Linked DNA regions of Caenorhabditis elegans. The protein of the gene in region 2 interacts with the protein of the main gene of each other region in a pairwise test. Each region holds a gene or a part of one and is shown on either strand. Other genes may lie near its edges.

Region 1 (3,754 bases), on a different chromosome or scaffold from region 2:
CTTGAAAAACTATAATAACATATCCTCTAACCTCTATGTTTTTTTCACCAAAAACCTTGAGAATAGTGTCCAAAATGCATATCGAACTTTCACTAATCATACTTCCCGAAGGACTTTCCACCTTTCCCCCTTCCAAGCTTATTCATTGTTTCCGTATAAAGGTTTGTGAATATCTCCTCTCTCTCTACCCAAGACACACCAACTTGATACCTTTCTGTGAATATGTTTATTTATTTATACCCTCCTTCCAACTCTCGGTGCGGGTTAAGCCAGTGACAGGCGCCTTAGACTTTCCCGAGCTACTTTATATAGAGAAGAGAACTCGGATAAAATCCAAAAGTTTTTCTTTGAAATCTTTTCGCAAAAATAATAATGAGCTCGTTGGAGGGCCCCCCGATCATCATCATCATCATTTTGCGACCACGAGAACGAGAAAATTATTAAACAGCAGCAGTGCTCTGAGAGACTTCTACTCTTTTTGTGTTCGGCAGAGATTTTGTGGGAAAAAATTTGGCAGAACTTTTTGAGAAGATAAACTAGCTGCAAGGTCAAAAATTTAAAGTTTTGCAACACTTAGAGGTGGTCTAACTGGGTGCTAAAATTCTATGGGAAAAGTCCTTTCAATATTGTGCTTAGGCTTAGGCTTAGACCTAAGCTTAGGCTTAATCTAAGGCTTAGGCTTAGGCTTAGTTTTAGGCTTAGGCTTAGGCTTAGGCTTAGGTGTAGGCTCAGGCTTAAGCTTGGCGTCAGTGGCGAGCGTGAGCATAGGCTTTGGTGTAGGCTTAATCTAAGGCTTAGGCTTATGCTTAGTTTTAGGCTTAGGCTTTTAGGCTTAGGCTTAGGCTTAGGCTTAGACTTAGGCTTAGGCTTAGACTTAGGCTTAGGTTTAGGCCTAGCCCTAGGCTTGGGCTTAGGCTTAGGCTGGGCCCGGGGATGAAGAGAACGAACAGAAATTATAGAAAATTCAAGAATTCAGAAAAGCCTCTCAATTTGAAATTTCTTGCTCATTTTTCCCTCATTACCATCACCCAATCGATCATTCATTGCACAATCAGTTGAAGCTGTCTCCATCTTGTCTCATCGCATCCCCGTCCATGTCAATCCCGCCTCTCCTTCCCCATCCCTTAGCCCCGCCTACTTTTCTCTCCGCGCGCGTACGTTTCCCTTCCGCCTCTAGCTCTCCGTCTTTTGTGTCCTCTCGTCTTCCGCAAAGTTCCCATGACTGAAAAAAAATTTTGGGTGTTCTTTTCAGGATGTGTATGGGAAGAATTATTTTGATTTGGAATTTTTTGTTTTTATTTTTTTATTTTTGCTCCGTTCTACTCTGTTTCTTCAAAAATTTATGAAATGTAGGTGTTTGTAAACCTTATTTCATTGTTTCGCTCGCTCAAAGTAAATTCTTTACTTTGGCCTATAAAAATTTCGTTTTCAAAATTTAGGCTTATTTCAACATGGTGGTCCAAATTTTTGAATCTAAAATTGATTTAAAAATGTAAAAAAAAATGTTTGTTCTATTTGATATTATCATTTATTTTTTTTGAAAAGCTTGAAAAAGTGCTCAAATAGTACCTAAAAGTTCGTTTTTGTCGGCATTTTTCAGACACTATTTGAGGATTGTTTCAAACTTTTCATCAAAAAAAAAAAATTATTTTCGGAAAGAACAAACCTTTTTCGACATTTCCATATCAATTTTAGATCAAAAAATTTTGGATTATCATGTTGAAATAAGCCAGTTTTGTGAGTTTGCCGAAAAAATGCCGCCCAGCTCTATTCCAGAGTGCAAAAATTAAGGGCTCAAAAATTGCCCTAAACCTAATTTTTGAGGGCTTTTAATTATTGGAGAGTATTTAATCGTAAGCCGTTAAGAAAAAAAAATATGTTTTTTTCTGCTGGAAAATTTGAAATTTTTTTAAGTGAAAATTTTCGAATTTTTCGAATTTTCATCCGGTGAGCTTCTTGAATTTTTTTTCTTGAATATATGTTTTCTCATAACGTTTCATGTCATATGTTTATGCGTTTATGTAGGCGACGGCTCTTTGCACACATTCACACACACATGCACTTCAAAATATAAAACAACTTTCTTTCTTGATCCGAGATTTTTCTTTTTTTTTGTTCAACTTCAACTTCCACCTGACAATACTCAAATTTCAGTCCCTTCAAAAATGGAGGAAGAGCTCAAATGCACAATATGCATTCGATTTTTCGAAGACCCCATCATTCTTACCTGCGGCCACAGTCTCTGCAGAATGTGCGCCCTGAAAGCCCACCAGCCGTCAACCTCGTCGGGAAGCTCGTCCACTTCATCGCCACGTCCCTCGACACCTGGAATTTTGTCACAAATTCTGAGCTCGGCGAGCTCACCGATCTCCCCACAAAGTGCTGGTAGTAGTAGTGGTGAGTATTGGTGGTTTTTTTGTTTTTTGTTGGTTAACTCGTTGACACCATATGTCATTGGGTTAATGGTATTGAGTAATCCAATTTCGGCACCGAGGTGCCGACAAAAGGGAAGAATTGAATGAAGAATGGAAACTAATTGAATACGAATGGAAAAAAAAACTAATAATTATTAATGTTTGCAGGAGCATCTGACACCATGTCACTTTGTGTTTCGGACAATGGGGACCATGAAAGTGATAAGCTATCAGTTGTGTCGGAGACCGATTCTGGAGTCGTCGGATGTGGTAGAAGTGAGTTGATTTTCTTGAGATTGGCTTACAACCTATATAAAAATTGTTGGGTGTAAATCTAACAAGGGAACCATCAGAAGGTGCCCATCGGACTTGCATATGAAACCTATGCCATTCGATAGCCCATGTCTTAAAACGGTTACTCGTGAATTTTGAGCTGCGAATGTCCAGAACCAAGCTCACTGCGAGCTCTCAAAGATTCTAAAATAGCACTATAACGAAGCACTGTAACGATGAAAAGAAGCAATTTTCCAAATTCACTTTGGTAGCCTATATCTCCGTGGATAAATTTTTTTCAGAAAAGTCATCAACTATAAAGTTGTTGATATTGTTGTAAAAAACAAGTTTGTAGTTAAAAGTTTCTACCAAAAAAATTTTTGTTTCAGATAAAAGCATTAAAATAGCAATAACTGCATAAAAATAACAACAACAGTTACCGCACTTCACGCGCTTCTATCTGAAACAACAATTTTTTTTGATAAAAACTTTCAACTACTCGAAAGGAGGAAGACAGTCCTGTCGGTAGGCAGGCACAAGTGGGCCTGTAGGCAGGCAAAACGTGTCTGCCTGATCATCTGGACTATAGTGCAAACTATTCAATTTTCCTATATTTTCTAAAAATCCTGTCAAAATTGAGAAAGATTCTCAAATTTATTCAGGTTCAAAATTCAGAGATCAGAATTTACTTTCTTCAACTTTGATAATTTTCCAGCCAGTCGACCGTCAAGCATCATCGGTCCACCTCTATCCCGCCTACACAACATCCTAACACCATCCACAAGCGGCGTGCAACTTGTCTGTAATTCGTGTCAAAAGCCGAGCTATTTCTGCGATGAGAACTCGATCGTCAGCGCGCCCACGAATCTCGCAATGCAAAACGTGATTCGAAGGTATCTGCTGGCCCATCCGGACAAGGCGTTCTTAACGCCGTCTTGTTCTGGAAGTTCTGGAAGTTCTGGAAGTTCTCAATCGTCCGATGAAGCATCGTCACAGTGTCAGCTATGCGAGGGGAGTGAAAATCGAATGGCAAATGTGTTTTGCGAGCAATGCGACATTTATTACTG
Region 2 (3,754 bases):
CACATTGTTTCTACATAAATTTTCTCTCACTAATAATATCCTTAACTTTGAGCCGCCATAAAACATTTGTAAGCATTATTGAAAAATCTATGTAGTTATGAAACTCGTTATCTTTGCGTCATTTTTAATATCAAAAAACATCAAAAAATTGTCGGTTACTACCTTTAAAAATTAGTACCACAATGCACCACGTGACAACTTCACTGAACGGGGGTAATAATATTCCAATGATAGTAACTGTCAAGTGTCGATCCCTTTTGTTTTATGATTTCCGCTTGAACGGTCATCGTATACTGTTTGGCTGAAGAGACATGTGGTGGTATAATCCTCTGGGAAATCCAATCTTCACCATGTGTCTCGAGAATATCTCTGATGTTGACTTGTTACTGTAGGATTGAGTGGAATTGATATTATTTTTGATATTAGGGCGATAGCGGTCATTTAGTTCAATTTTTGGTCATTTAGTTCAATTTAGTTCATTTAAAATTTCCTAGGATTTTGTTTTACGGTGTTCCACCGACACTAAAAACTGATTGTTCAGATCAGAGGTGTACGTTAAATTTTTTCGACAATTCTACAAAATGGCCTGATGTGGCATGTTGGTCTGATATTTTTCATTAAAATTTAGTGTCAAAATATAGGATTGATTGATCTGAAAATAATTTTTTAGTTGAAAAAAAATCCTTAAAAGTTGTCTGAAAGGTGAAAATTGCTGGAATAAATCAGACAAATTATTGACACTTTTTTCCAGCAATTGGCAACTTTCATGCAATTTTTAATCATATTTTCACATTTTCAAACTTAAATGAAAATTATTTTCTGATTAATAAATTATTTGTTATATATTTTTGCATTAAATTTTGATCTGTTTTGCCTGTTGAACTAAAATGCTCTAGTTCAGATACAAGTAGTTTCAAAGAATTTGAGAGATTAGATTATAAAGACATCTCAACAACTTCTAGAGCTCACAACAGCATCTATTGAGTTCAATTGAAAAATTCAATTTTGGAGAAGAAAGGATTTAAACAGAATTATCTATATTTGAAGTGTTGCTAACATACTTCTTGTCATCTGTCGCCTGCATCGTTTGCACCTGCCACCATTACCGCCATCTCACGTCGTCGTCTTCTTCATGTCTTCTTTCTTATTTTGCCTGTTGTGTCCCCGGCGGTCTGTCCGGTCCATCAACATCCGTCTGCGCGCGCAGTGACCCTTGCGTTCTCTTTTTACGTCTGCGTCTCTACAGGACACTAGCACTGTCTCATATGACCAGCGGTCTGCTACAACGGCCGTTAGCCTCCCATAACAATTCGCTTGTCTCCCGCTTTCGTACGCTATTCCCGGAGCGGTGCCCACCCCAATGGTTGGGCCCTCTTGAGAGAAATAGTTCGTTTTGGTAGCTCTTCCTTTTCTTCTTCCTTTTCCACGATTTTCGCATTTTCACACCCAACGATTTGTAATGCGTTGTGCAACTAATAATTGAGACTAGATTCATCACATCTTTATTTGCTTATTTTATTTTATGCAGTGAAGACATTTGAATAATGCATACTTCCTGAAAAAGTACGTATTCTAGTGAGAAGATCTAATAACGTTTCGCAATGTTTCGACCTTTTCCATCCTATTTTTAGCTGCTTGAGTATAGAATTTCTTCAAAAATATCAATGAGTCAGTCATTTTAAAACAAACTTTAAAATTTAGTTTTAAAAATTGGCAAGACCATTTTGACCAAAATTTGGCAAGAGATTGTTTAGACTAGGGTCAAATAGAATTAAATTAGCTCAAGCCACATGTTGCCAATTTCCGATTTAAGCCATTTTTTTCCGGATTGTTTGAAATATTTTGTATACCAAACTTGTTCCAAGAAGATGTTAAGCTATATGAAAAGCTTCTAAAATTGTAATGCACTTATTTTTAAATGTTCTGGAAAATTTTGTTTTTTCCATAATAATTAATAATTTTGTCTCGATTTTTTCTTTGATTTTTAAAATCTTATTTAGTGTGATTTTCCATGATTTTCGAGCAATATTTCATCAGAAAATTTAAATCGAAAATCAACTTTTTCTCTCTTTTCAATACGCACTCTATTTTATTTTCTCAAATCTCTTTTTTTGAAAGAAATTTAAAATTCTTTGAAAACTGTCATTTTTTCAGATAAACGGGTTCTCATCTGATCGTCACAATACACACACAGACATTCAGAAGCACATGATTATTTTGAATTCAAGAAGAGTCGTCAAATTCGCATAAAATTCCTCCATCAGTTATGGGCGATTATGATGGAAAAGTGAGTTTTTTCAGTTTCATGGTGGCGGCAGCGGCAACTTGTGAAAAAAGAGGCAGAGATGCCGGCGCCGTAATCCATTGAAGCGATTAATGCGGAAAACGAGTGCAAACTGTACGATTTGATAGAGAAAAGAATACGTTTTTGTTTTTCGAATGTTCCGAGAAATGTCTTTTTCATCAAATTTTTAAATTTCAAATAATTTAATTTTGTTTTGTTAATATTGCCCAGACGCAAAGTTTTGCGATATTTGCAATAAAAATACGGTATTCGGTCTCGATACTACAAATTTTTGATGAGCCTTTAAAGATTACTGTAGTTTAGTTGATTATTGATTTTTTTCTCTATATTTGTTTAAATTTATGTGTTTAACAGTTTTTTTGTTGTAAAATTGTTCCGATGAAAAATTTTTTTATAAATAACAATGAAAATTGATGAAAATTCCGCAAAAACCAAATGCTAGAGATTACAGTATTCTTCAAATAAAATTTTATCGTGTCAAGACCGGGTACCGTATTTTGATACAAAAATCGTTAAATTTCGCCTATGAGTAGTAGAAAAAATTAACACCAAAACAGCAACTAAAAAATTTAATATAACTTTAAAGTTTTGCCAAAATTGAAAAAAAAAATTTCCGAGATCTCTACTCTTTTTCACGACTATAAATCTTGATTAGGTCCAAACTAAAGAAAAATAAATCATAATAATTGATGTATTACGATTACAAACCTTCCCAGACAATTGTTGAAAAGTGTAAAATGAGTTCATCACGTTTTTGAAATATGTTATGAGTCAATTGTTTTGTGTCACTCATTCCGAAATTCGGTGCTCTCCCGGTGCTCCTGCTTCTTCTCACCCATTATTTCCGGATAGATCATGAGATGGAGAGACGCAGATAGCACGATAATAGTGACCGGTTGTGTAAAGTTGTGTGAGAAAAGAAACGAAATAGTGGGAGCTTATCAAGCTCTTCCCTCAATCCTTGAAACAGATGGTACTCTCAAAGAGTGCCTTCTCGATTAGCACCAATCTTACTACTAGTATGTTGTTGTTCGAGACAGGATTATGACCTCGAGAAGCGAGGAAAATGTGAGAGAGAACGAATACCAACAAAAAAATCCGAATAGTGTGTGTGTGTAATGACGGCAGTTTATGGCAATCGGGGAAGACATTGAGAATTGTTGTAGTGCAAAAAATTGGAGGAAAAAGAAAGAAAAAATGAAAGAAAATCTCTTGTGTGCCGGGTTTTCTTTCTTCCTTTTTCGTTTTTTTTCGTGTTGGTTTGCCTTGCAAGTAAACTAGTCAACTTCAAAATACTCTGGTTGAGCTTTTACAAAAAGTTCTCTCAGTCTTTTTTCTTTCAAATACAAATTTTTCTGCCCAATTTTTTCACAAAATAAACAAAAAGAGCCAAACTTTTATAGGTAGTTTTTGAGTACATTGTACTGATTATTTTAATTTAAAATCAAT

What was found. Proteins that work in one complex are often made in the same cells at the same time.
Region 1: the proteins of unc-73 (region 2) and madd-2 interact in a two-hybrid assay, tested with the Caenorhabditis elegans proteins (one study listed by BioGRID).

Annotation. Positions count from the first base shown.
Region 1 is NC_003283.11:1,233,846-1,237,599, reverse strand, and holds the start of madd-2 (E3 ubiquitin-protein ligase TRIM9), read left to right. Parts: upstream 1-2,154; 5' UTR 2,155-2,165; coding exon 2,166-2,397; intron 2,398-2,582; coding exon 2,583-2,690; intron 2,691-3,402; coding exon 3,403-3,754.
Region 2 is NC_003279.8:4,030,140-4,033,893, reverse strand, and holds the start of unc-73 (CRAL-TRIO domain-containing protein), read left to right. Parts: upstream 1-2,154; 5' UTR 2,155-2,266; coding exon 2,267-2,287; intron 2,288-3,754.